Ovis aries: one gene and its partners. The protein of the gene in region 1 interacts with the protein of each later gene in a pairwise test. Links are inferred from orthologs where the notes say so. Each region holds a gene or a part of one and is shown in the gene's direction. Other genes may lie near its edges.

The links.
Region 2: the proteins of AGTRAP (region 1) and PITPNC1 interact in binary tests that used the Homo sapiens proteins (3 or more experiments, as listed by UniProt). The two-hybrid records come from large-scale screens. The link is inferred for Ovis aries from reciprocal best matches to the Homo sapiens genes AGTRAP and PITPNC1.
Region 3: the proteins of AGTRAP (region 1) and PIMREG interact in binary tests that used the Homo sapiens proteins (3 or more experiments, as listed by UniProt). The two-hybrid records come from large-scale screens. The link is inferred for Ovis aries from reciprocal best matches to the Homo sapiens genes AGTRAP and PIMREG.

Annotation. Positions count from the first base shown.
Region 1 is NC_056065.1:41,204,305-41,208,266, reverse strand, and holds the start of AGTRAP (type-1 angiotensin II receptor-associated protein), read left to right. Parts: upstream 1-1,155; 5' UTR 1,156-1,230; coding exon 1,231-1,365; exon of another isoform or gene 1,366-1,386; coding exon of another isoform or gene 1,387-1,413; intron 1,414-3,962. UniProt on the Homo sapiens protein: Appears to be a negative regulator of type-1 angiotensin II receptor-mediated signaling by regulating receptor internalization as well as mechanism of receptor desensitization such as phosphorylation.
Region 2 is NC_056064.1:49,176,072-49,180,049, reverse strand, and holds the start of PITPNC1 (cytoplasmic phosphatidylinositol transfer protein 1), read left to right. Parts: upstream 1-1,168; 5' UTR 1,169-2,057; coding exon 2,058-2,105; intron 2,106-3,978.
Region 3 is NC_056064.1:25,303,633-25,307,672, reverse strand, and holds the start of PIMREG (protein PIMREG), read left to right. Parts: upstream 1-1,230; 5' UTR 1,231-1,265; intron 1,266-1,790; 5' UTR 1,791-1,826; coding exon 1,827-2,120; intron 2,121-3,215; coding exon 3,216-3,511; intron 3,512-4,003; coding exon 4,004-4,040. UniProt on the Homo sapiens protein: During mitosis, may play a role in the control of metaphase-to-anaphase transition.

The DNA of each region.
Region 1 (3,962 bases):
ATATCAAAACAGTAGCAAGTCCTGATCAAGGGCTGTCTGCCAGGCAATGTTCTAAACATTTTTACATATTAACAAATCCTTATTAACAAATTCAAAATAACCATCCTTCAAGGAAGATACTATTATTTCTCTCATTTTACGGATCAGAAAACTGAAGCACAGAGAGGCAAAGTGACTTGCTCAAGTAGAACCAGTAAGTGGACAAAGTTAGGACTCAAACTCTTTTCTCTGGTCCAGCTAGTCCTCTGGGCTCTGAATCCCAACAATCGTGCCCAGTGTAGCTATCTGTCCGGTCTCTGAAGCTTACCAGCTCTCTGTTACTCTGGCAGATGTGCTATTCTGCTCAGGGGGCTGGACAGCTGTGTCTCCAAAAGGGACATTCAAATAGGCCAGCGGACTCCGCGACCTTGCAGAAGACCCCACTGCTGCTGCTGCTAAGGCGCCTCAGTCGTGTCCGACTCTCTGCAACCCCATAGACGGCAGCCCGCCAGGCTCCCCCGTCCCTGCGATTCTCCAGGCAAGAACACTGCAGTGGGTTGCCATTTCCTTCTCCAATGCATAAAAGTGAAAAGTGAAAGTGAAGTCGCTCAGTCGTGTCAGACTCCACACCCACCTGGAAAACTCCGCTCTTTGTATCTAGAGTCTGTATCTTGATAGGATCTTAGGACCCACCCAGCCAGTCTTTCAGGTTTCCACGTGGTCTCTCCCCTCCTGGAAATAAGAATAAGCACTCAGCGGGACAGACCCAAGGGGATCCCAACAGTCTTGAATAAGTCTTCCTTACCTTTAAAGTAAGTGTCAGTATTTTTTCTTCAAACATGAATTAGTTCATTCATCCTCAGAAGGATTCTATGAGGTAGGTAACCGTCTTCACTTTCACTGGGGAAGGAGGGAGGAGAGACTGTGCCCTCAGGGATGAGACACCAGCTGTTACCACATCTGCAGATTGTACTTGGAGGTTCCCCCAAGTTCTCCTGGCTGCAGGTGGTCCCGTCAGCCCACCTGCTGGGATTTTAACTCGGCGAGATATTGCGCCCTTTGCGACACAAATCTGGATATTCTCCAGCCGCCCGCCACCCCGCCCCCGCCCCCGCCCCCGGCCCCGCCCCCGCCCCGGCCCCGGCCCGCCCCCGCCCCCGTCCCCGGCCCCGCCCCGTAACTACCTGGGCAGTGGCGCAGTGAAGGCTCAAGCAGCACGACGCCGTCTCCTAGATACCGGGCCGTCGTCACATGACCTACTCACGTGACCCCCCCCCCACAGCCCAGCTGGGGTTGGAGCTCTGGCAAAGGGCAGCCGGCGGGGCGGGGCTGGGCAAGTTTGTTTCCCGAGTTCGGAGACCAGGAGCCCCCGCGGTTGTGGCGCAGGTGCTGTCCGGTTGGGTCGCGATGGAGCTGCCAGCCGTGAACCTGAAGGTGGCGATGGGCGGGGCGGGTCTCCCGGAGCGTGTTGGGTATTTGCGCTTTTAGTAGGTGATTTTAGAGGTGAGGATTTTAGAGGTAGAGGACCGAGAATCTGGGGAAAGTGGAGTGGTGGGGAGAAAGAGAACGAACAGAGCCCAGGTGTAAGGAGGTGGGCGGACAGACCATACCAGGAAGACAGATCCAGAAGGCCAGCAGGAAAGACCGAGAGGGAGCTGGAGGAGGGAAGCAGCCGTCTCTTCCCTAAGACCGGTTCAGCTGGGAGCGCTGAGCCCCTGAGGCTCGCTTTGGCCTGCGCGCCCAGAATTTCTCTGGAGAAAGAGGAGAGCGTGGTGGGGAGGGACCCAAGGAGAGCCCGAGGCTGGACTTGGAGGCAGGACACCTGCCTTCCACCGAGAGAGGGGTAAAGCTTTCACCTGGACCCCCAACACTGCCCTTACCGCCTCTCTTGTTGGGAAGATCAAGTTAAGGAAATCAAATGATCCCAGACAGATGGTTTTTCAGAGTTGATAGATTCAACGTCTTTATTTCTTAAGCAACACAGACACCAATAGAATTTACTCAAAAGCAGAATCCCCCAACTTTGCACATTTAGGAAAACACTGTAGGTCGCTGGGGTGTCTTCATTTCCTGAGCTGTAAGAATGCCAAAGGCTGTTCTTCTTTTTCTCCCCGCCCTCCTCCAGCCCAGTGTTTCTTGGCTGGGTTTGCCACTGAGAGGCTGAAGCCTTTAGCTTTGGTCAGAAAGGTTTTAGCCTTGGACCAGACCTGCCATCTGCGGCCTAGGTACAGTTTCCTTTGAGATTGTATGCAGGAGTACCCTCTTATTCACCCTTGACAAAGCATTATGCACCCATGGTGTCTGGTCCTAAAGTAAGAGATAGATGACTACAGAACAATACATCATCCATATTTGGATTATTAGACATGGTCTGTGTTGTGACTTCACGTGGGCACATTTCCTTAATATTGAACACTTGCTTCAGCAGACCTCTCCGAGGCTTCCAGTCAACTGCTGCAGGGGGAGAGATGGCTGTGACAAGGGAATGGGCTTGGATTGAAGGTTTAGCAGGGAAGAAATTTACACGAGGGCAACTGAGGTTCATTGGTATCAACATTCACTCTGTTCCAGGCTGTGTGCAGTTAATGCCGACTACCTTTTCTCTGATTAGAGACTTGCCTAAAATAATTATTAAGGGGGAAGGAGGAAAGGGACAGAGGAGCAGGAACTGACGAGGGAGTGAGCCCTAATTCTTAGGGCGTCTGTGGTGTGCCGGGTTATTTATTTAGTCGTATCAACCTTCTGAGATTTTTGTAGCTGAGCCAACTTCAGCTCAGACCAGATAGGTAACTTGTCAAGGCCCCACAGAGATTAAGTGGCAGAGTCAGAATTTGAACCCATCACGGTCAGACTTCAAAGCTCTGTCTTTTCCTGGCCACCATTAGTTAGGGCCAACTTCTGCTTTGACAGTTAGTGCCCAGTGGGAGGGCTTAGTCTGTTTGTGGCTTTTTTTTTTTTTTTTTTTGGAGAAACTTTGTGGGCCTCACAGGCCACACGTGACCACAGATGTGAGCTTTGCCGGCTTTCACTGCCCACAGTGAAATAGCTGGTCCTTTCTTTGACTTGGGAAATAAAACACCATATCTCTAAGGGTCTTAGCTGCTACCAATCAGAGACAAGTAAGTGCTGAGAGGTCGTGAACAGCTAGGGTTGCCAGGTGACATTGAGGACATCCAGTTGAGTTTGAATTTCATATCAACAATGAATAACTTTTTAATCTAAGTATGAAAAGTGAAAGTCATTCAGTCGTGTCCAACTCTTTGTGACCCCAGGGACTGTACAGTCCATGGAATTCTCCAGGCCAGAATACTGGAGTGGGTAGCCTTTCCCTTCTGCAGGGGATCTTCCCAACCTAGGGATCGAACCTAGATCTCCCACATTGCAGGAGGATTCTTTACAGCTGAGCCACCAGGGAAGCCCCAGGATACTGGAGTGGGTTATCCTATCCCTTCTCCAGTGGACCTTATATCCCAGGCAATATTTGGAACAGTCTAGAAAATTATTCATTATCTGAAATTAAAGATTAACTAGGGGTTCTGTTTTTGTTGTTGTTTTTTCTGGCCTCCCACAGGAGTCTAAGTGGGCTATTCTGAGATCAGAACCCCTTGGGAGCTCAGAAAATGCCCAACCCCCCAACCCTGCACTACCCTTGCCCTCCTTTCACACATTCCTGGGGTATTGGCTCAGTGCCTGCTTGTGCCCAGCCCACCCACAGTAGGCAGTGGTGCCAGGTGAACAGAAGCAGCTGCCCCGGGCCCTCCAGGTAGTTCCTAACCCAATGCCACACATGAGGCAAGTCCTGAGCTGAAGGAACGTCATTGTGAGAGTTTAGAAAGTTCTAGACTTGGGTTCATGAGGGCTTGTGAGAAAAGGCCCTTGGGAGGAGGGTGCAGGGGGTTAGTATAGCATGAGGGTTAAGAATTCCGGAACCTGACTGCACAATAGTCAGGGACTGCCTTGTCTCGGGGCTTCCCAGGTGGCTG
Region 2 (3,978 bases), on another chromosome or scaffold:
TTTCTATCAGCTTTTGTTATCATGTTCACACAGAAATTCTCTTCAGCCATCTGGATGATTTTAGCCACAGCCCGCCATAGCAATTAATTACTTACTGCTCATAATTTTAAATACTGTAATATGGAGGCCATCTGCATTGCCATCCAAAGCCCTGTGAGGAGGATCTGTAGATCCTGTAGGATCTTAGAGCACAAGTATTTTTTTCTTTTCCAAGAAAAGATGATGCTTGCAGGTTATTCTGCAAAGAGGCAACTGATGCATTTTTCATCCAGCACTTTTCAGAAAAACAAGCTTAAAAATACCAGACAAATGAAAAACAGACTTCAGCAGTTACATGCAGCTTCCAGAGAAACTGAAGAATGTGCCTCTTGTGGTTAAAATGAGGGATCTGTTTAATATGGATGAAATACCAACACTCCAGGCATTTTCATTGACATTTCATTGTGACTTTTTGAACTTGGGAGTGCTGACAGGAAAACCTATTCTTGCTGCTCTGCGAAGCCTGCAGTCAGACTGCAGAGCAGGGCCAGGAGAGGTAAAAGGCTATGTCCCCGTTCACGTTTCCCCTGGTTGTGTGTCTTTCCTTGTGGATTTCATTTTAATTTACCGTGTTGCACTTTGCTGTTTCTGCATTCCTGCTCTGAAACCAGTTAGGAAACCAGGCACAGGTTTGCTCTTTTGCTCCCAAATCCCGTTGCCTCTCCAGCGCTGGACTTGTTTACTGGACCAAAGTGAAAACGCACTCGGGTGGGCATTTGTTAAACAAACAAACAAACACCCCCCTTCCCCCCCCACACACAAAAACCGTTTCTAAAGGTCAAGGGACACACTCCTGTACCTTGGACCCAGAAGCTACCCAGAGTGGCTGGACAGAGCACCGTGGCACCCGGGGTACATCTGAGAACAAGACTCAAAGGGTTTCAAGGAGCCGACAGGAGCCCCCTCTTTTCCGATCCTTCCCAGCGCCGGCCGGCCTCGGCTCTCCGGGGCAGCCCCGCCGTCTGGCAGCAGCCCGGGAGAGACATGCTGTTTTGTTTAAATCCTCCACATTCTTTGCCATTTCCCCATTGGCCGGATGGGGCTACCCTCCCCGCCGCGACGGCTGCTGATGTCAGCTGCGCTCGCTCCTCCCGCACCCACCTCCCCAGCCCAAGGCACACCGCAGCTCGGCGCCGACTCTCCGGCCCCGGCGAGGTGGCTGCAAACTCGCGGGCACGCACGGCGCTCGGGGATCCGGACTCGGGGGAGGGGACGCGCGCGGAAGGCGCCAGCTTCCTCCCGCCCGCCCGCCCGCCCCTCGCAGGCGCGAGCCGAGGTCGGAGGAACCCGGAGCCCCAGCCCCGCAGAAGCCGAGCGGCCGCGGCGGCGGAGGCTTCCCTTTTCTCACCCAGCGAGACCCTGGAGCGCCTCGGCGACCGGCCTTAAAAAGAGAAGGAAATCTTGTTTACCGCCGGGGAGCACAGCCGTTCGAGCCTTTGTCTGAAAAGTCAGCATCTCTGGCTCTGGCTGCAACGTGTGCTCGGTGACATTCGCCTTGGGAAGACCGGCCGGAAAAGGGGGCGGGGGGAAGTCGCCAGGTTAAGATCTGGTTTCAGAGGCGGATCGAGAGGGTGACTTTTGTGTATTCCGTGTAATTTTGGGGGACCTCGTGGTTTGTTGTTGTTTTTTCTTTTTTTTTTTCCCTCCGTCGCCCGCCGACGGGCATGTCCTGATCTGGCTTCCGCTCCTGCTGCCCGGGGCTGCCGATCAGATTGGTTTCCAGTGGGTCTCCCTCCCTCTCTGACTTTGCAACACCGCGTTCCAGGCGGGTCGACCTCGGCTAGGAAGGAGGCGGGGGAGCCGCGAACACCCGGACCCAAACCTTGACATGCTCTCGGGCGGAGAGGAGGAAGCCAGGAACTGAGCGCACCGCCCGGGGGGCTGCCTCGCCGACCGGCTCCAAGCACGGGGCTCCCGGCGCTCAGCTCTGCGCCTGGGCGGCAGCCTTGTTGATCTGGGGGTGCCCCCACCCCTGCCCCGCCCGCTTCCTGCCTCGGAGGTCCGTGGCCGGCAGGATCATGCTGCTGAAGGAGTACCGGATCTGCATGCCGCTCACCGTGGACGAGGTAAGCGCCGCGCCGGGCCTGGCCTCGCCCGCTCCCGGTCCCCGGCTCCGGGGCGCCGCTTCCCGCCGCCGCTTCCCGCCAGCGGGTCCACTGCGGACGGCGGGGAAAACCCTGGTGGAACATTGCCTCCCAAATCCGGAGGCTGGAGGGGGAGGAGGAGGGGAGTTGCTGCTTCCACTTGTCACCCCAGCAAGGAGAGTAACGTTGGGTGGGGCGGTGGACTGCAGGTGGGTTCTTTGGGGGCATCCAGAATTCGGATAGCTGAGGATCAGAATGCGCCAAAGGGAGTTGGTCGTCCCCTCCCTCCAATTAAGAAAATAAAAAAAAGCAAACCCAAGAGCTCCAAGCACACCCTGGTAGCGCAACCCTGGGGGGTGTGCATCCCGTTCCTGTCGTGGACCCGGGTTCCCCTCCCGCCCACCACTAGAAGGTTGGGGTAAGGGAGCAGTCCTTCGCCCTTGGGATTTGGAGGGCCCGGGTCCCGCTTGGGGGCACCTCGGAATCCTAGGGGAGGGGGGGTCCATTTGGACTCAGACCCCTTGCCATCGCCGCCAGCCTGGGCGCCGCTCCAGCCACGCCCGTGCTTCGAGGCTCGGGACCCTGGCCTCGCCTCGACCTTTCTCTAACCGCCTGGCTGGGAAACTTTGTGCGTGTCTTGTTTCTCGGGCCGCGGGGAGAGCAGTCTGCGGGCGAGCGGGGAGCGGCGGGGACTGCGGCGCGGCCACAGAGGGGCGCTGTAGCACGCGGGTGCCGGCCGGGCCCCCCGGCTCTCGGGTCCCCCAGCTGTAGGGCTAGGGGCGGGGGACTCTTCCTGGACTCGTCCTCCACCGGCCGCTCAGGTTGCTTTCCCCGGATCCGCACACCTCGTCCCCGCCAAGCGGCAAGCTCTATCATTCAGGAAGCGATGACTCAGTGAGGATTATTCAGGCCCGGCTTCCCTTTATTCCCCCTCTGCCTCCCTACCTTTTTGGTGATTTCACAATTGCTTAGCGCCTGTCCGGGGACTGCGAGGGAGCTTGAAGCCAATCAGGGCAATTTGAAACTTAACTAATGTGGTTTGGTGTGACAACACGCGTGATACCGACGACCCAAACCGTATTTATGTTTAAATACAGTGCCCTTAATCTCTCACTGCTTTGGGGAAGGGGCAAGGTGCTTTGGGAGAGAAAAAGATTTTTAACTAAGAACGTGGTGTGCTCCCAAGGGACTTGTCTGCATGTGTCATCTGGAGCAAGTGTTAAGACCCACAGTACACTCCAAGGCAAGATCAAAGTAGCTCCGCGTTTGCAAAATGTATCCGAGGGAGGCTGACTGCCAAAAAGAGATCAGCCCCCCCATCCAGTGAACACCCGAGCAGCGCGGTTCTGTGACTTTGGAGGAGACAGCATTTGAGCAAGGTCCTTGAAGGATGGATGCCATGTAGGTAGGCAGACCGTGTACATCCTGTGGAGAAGCAGCACCCAGCTCTGTGGACAGTGGGGCGGGGAATGAATGAAACTGGTTAACCAAAGCAATTTTAGGAATTGTTGAGATCTTCCCAACCCCTGAGTCGCTAAGCTGGAGTAGTTCAGCTTGGAGGTATGTCTGCTTCCCCTCCATCTCCTCCTAATGACTTTTTTTTATTGAGAGGAGTTTGGGATCTCCGGGCAATGCTGGTATGGCATGAAATGCCCAGCAAGGCAGGTGATAGTCAAGAAAGTAGCCAACTCTAGAATCATCTATACCATCTGCGACGTCTCTTTATTCTGGTTGGTTCCCTTTTCAGACTTTGCCTTGAATCCTCAGGCACCACCGCTCTTTGTACACTTTTTTTTTTTTGGTACTGAAATAACTAGTTTTGGTGTGAAGTAATCTTGAGTGGTATAGGTGGAGG
Region 3 (4,040 bases), on another chromosome or scaffold:
GCTCTGTGCTGTGCTTAGCGGTTCAGTCGTGTCCCATAGACTTGCGACCCCATAGACTATAGCCTGCGAGGCTCTTCTGTCCATGGGATTCTCCAGGCAAGAACACTGGAGTGCGTTGCCATTCCCTTCTCCAGGGGATCTTCCCAACCCAGAGATCAAACCCATGTCTCCCTCCTCTCCTGCATTGACAGGCAGATTCTTTAATCACTGCACCACGGCCAGGTGCATAGTAAGTGACTCGTTTGAATCGGTCTCCTCCCATGGGAAAAGTCCCTTTACCAGGGTTTGGGGGAGATGACCCGGAGGTGAAGAACAGAGTTAATGACTGACCTTCAAGAGACCCATAAGTTGAAACTCGGGAATGGAGCCGGGGGTGGGGGGGTGGGGGGGGGGGGGGGGGGGGGGGGGGGGGGTGGTGTATGGGGGGAGGAAAGGTTCCAGGTGAGCAGGGCGGTGAGGAAACGGAGTAGGGACTACTTTGAGGGGGAAGGAGAGGGGGCTTTCTAAATGGTGAATTTTTTAGCTCGGATGCTAAAGGGAAGGGGGGAGGCACTCAGCTGGATAGAGGGGATGGTCAATGGGACAGGGTTGGGGGTCGTACTTGGAGTGGGGGTAGGGGGCTGGGGGATGCACTCAATCTGTCCCCTCTCCCAAGATGGGTTTTCCTGGGGATCCGTGCGGATGGCAAGTTTGGGGAACTGAAGGGCAGTCTCAGGAAGGCAGAGGGTCACGAGGGAAGTTTGAAACAAAGTTTCCACAGCAACCCAAGGCTCCGAGTTCCCAGCCCAGGCTCTTTCTGACAAAACCACTGAGACCTTCAGGCAGGATGGGAGGGACCCTTAGGAGCCGGGGACCCCGCCTCGCCCCGCCCAGTCAGGCCAGCCAGAACCCTTTATAAGTTAAGGATGGGGTCCAGTGGCCCGAGACCGAGGGTCAGTAGGTGGCGCCGGGGCTGAGCCGGCGCGGGCTACGGATTCTGCAGGAAACTCGGGCGGGACCCATAGATACAAAGGGTCCTCTACGCCCGGCTCCCTGTCCAGCGGGCCTCCAGAGGATGAATGGGGATGGCTAGGCCAATCCGAGAGCAGGATTCACAGCCGCTGGCGCAGGGGCCAATCGGATCCCTGGCGTGGCCGCGAGGCGGGGACAGAGCCAATCAGCTGTGAGGACAGGACCAGGGGGGCGGATCCGCGCGGTGTTTCAAATCGACTGGATGGGCGAGGAGCAGCTATGCACGTCGTCTGGTCAGCCTCGGGAGCTGTTGGGTGAGTGCGGGCCGGGGCGTGGTGGGGTTCTGTTCAGAAGGGACGGGAGCAGGTGGGGTGGGGGACCCCTAGTTAGGACGGGCACGGCATGTGGGGCTTCTGGGTACAGCCGGATGGACATCGGGGTGTCTGGTCAGCCCACCTCCGCGCATTGGGTCAAGGCGAGCTCGTGAAAGAGTCCCTAGCCCAGCCTGGGCCAAGTGCTGAGGCTCAGCGACGGCCGGCGGGTCCTGACTGCCTCCCTCCCAGCCTGAGGCAGATAACGGAAAGTAGCCTGGGATGAAAAGACAGTTAATTCAGACACTCACAGCAAGGGACGCCTTGCTGGCCGGCCTTGTCCAGACTCTGCCCTCTCCCGGGCCTCTATGACCTCACTTCTAGGAAGAATTCCTCCCCACGGTTGACAAGCGACCCACCCCATGGGCCCCAGGACTGGAATCTCTTTCTCTGGTACCCGGTGTCTCACTGGATCCTGGGAGTGGGATGGGGGATACCCTGCTGATCTCCCATTGATCTCCTCCCCAGGGTCTGTGGGAACAGAACAGACTCTTGAACAGTCAGATGGCTTCTCGGTGGCCAGCTGTGGGGGCTTCCCTGCGTCGGAGGTCTCTCCAGAACCAGGAACGGTTGGAGGAGAGCGAGGCCCTGCAGCCTGTAGCCGGCCACCTGGACACCTCCAGCGGGGCCCTGGGCTCCCTGCGCAGACAGTTCCAGAGGCGGCTGCCCCTGAGAGCAGTCAGCCTCAACCTCGGGGTGGGCCCCTCCTGGAAACGCCTGGAAACCCCAGAGCCAGGGCAGCAGGGCCTCCAGGCTGCAGCTCGCTCAGCTAAGAGCACCTTGGGTGCCATGTCCCAGGTAATGCCAAGTATGGATGTAGGGCTTCCTTGATGCTGAAAAATGGCTGCCCCCAAAGATCTCCCAAGAATATAGACTCTGTGAAGACAAGGTCCTTGATTTATTAGTGTCCCCAGCTCTCCAAACAATTCCTGGTACACAGTAGTGCGTGCACGCTAAGTCGCCTCAGTCATGTCTGACTCTTTGTTACCCTATGGACAGTAGGAGCCAGGCTCCTCTGACCATGGGATTCTCTAGGCAAGAATACTGGAGTGGGTTGCCAGGCCCTCCTCCAGGGGACCTTCCCAATCCAGGGATCGAGCCCATGTCTCATATCTCTTCTGCATTGGCAGGCGGTTTCTTTACCACTAGCGCCATCTGGGAAGCCCATGGCACCCAGTAGATGCTCAACAAATAGCTGAATGAGTGAATGAAAACAGGGTTGTGGAGGAAACAGAACATCATGAGACAAGATGAAAGAGCTATACTGTGATAGGAAGTTGCTAATTAGCAAAGGGCTAATGGTGGGGGAACACCAAAAACAAGCTTAGTCAGTGAAGGTGACTGGAGGAGGTGACTCCATGGAATTCGCCCAGGAAAGGGGAGGTATGAGGAGGTATGAGGAGTGTACAAGACAGGTGAACTAGTCCAGACCCAGGGTTAAAGGAGAGCAAGACGCTGAAAAGAACTGGCAGGAACTTAGTCTGGGTATGGCTGGAGGACAGAGAGCAAGACAGGGCGTGAGAAGGTAGGGCACGTGCCGAACATGTTTAGAATTATTTCACTGTCTCCTGGGGGTAGGTGTGGTCTCCCCCAGGCCTCCCCTTTGAGTCTGGGTCAATCTGTCCAGAAAGAGGGTTTGGATTTAGACCAATGCAGGCTCCATGAGCCAGAGAGGTTATGCTGCCGCCCATGCACTTATCCCTGGGGGCCTGAGCTGGGTCCCTGCTATGGACCTGTGGCCTCATGGACTCATCTGCATCCCTCACCCTGAGCCTAAAGGCTTCCTGGGTCTGTAGGACCAGCTGGTGGGCCGAGGGGTTGGGGGATGCCCTGAGAAATCGGGTAGCTCACTCCTGGCTTGTCCACTCTGACTTTTCCATGCACTGGTCACAGAGGATCCAGGAGTCCTGCCAAAGTGGCACCAAGTGGCTGGTGGAAACCCAGGTGAAAGCCAGGAGGAGGAAGAGAGGGGCCCAGAAGGGCAGTAGCCCCCCAGCTCGCAGCCTGAGCCAGAGGAGCACCCGGCTATCTGTGGCTGCCCCTGCCCACTCAACCCTGGACCCCCGGGAGAAAGAGTACCACCCCCTGTCTGTCCAGATGGGCCCCCATGCCCACCCTTGGCAACGGTCCAGAAGGGAGGCTGCCTTCCGGAGCCCCTACTCCTCGGCAGAGCCCCTCTGCTCCCCTAGGTAAGTGGGGTAGTGCCTGCCCCTCAAATGCTAACTGGGCCCTGGGGGCTACTGAGCACCTTCAGGACACCCTGAGCTGAGCCACATCCATGCTCTGGCTCAGCTCTGTGCCCCACTATGGGGGACCTGGGGAGGTCCTTTTGGGCCTGAGTTTCCCCACCTGCCAAAGGAAGAGGCGAGCTTAACTCTAAGAGTATCACAGTCACCCAAGCTCCACCAAAAGTTTTTGAAGCCACCTGGCAGGGTCGGGGGGTGGAGGCTTACCTGTCTGCAGGATCATCTATCCTTGACAATGGCCTCAGCTGTTCTCTGCCATCTGCTCCGAGCCTCTCTGACGACACTTCCTAGAATGGGGGTCTGGGGTGATCAGTTCCCAGCCCACACTGGTCATCTCTGGGGCCTGTACACCAGGTCCCAGTGCTGGGTTAGAATAGGCTCCTGCCACAGGTTTCCAGCTAGTGACTGATATGCACAGCTTTTCCTTCTGTCCAGTGAGTCCGACAGTGACCTGGAGCCCGTGGGGGCAGGA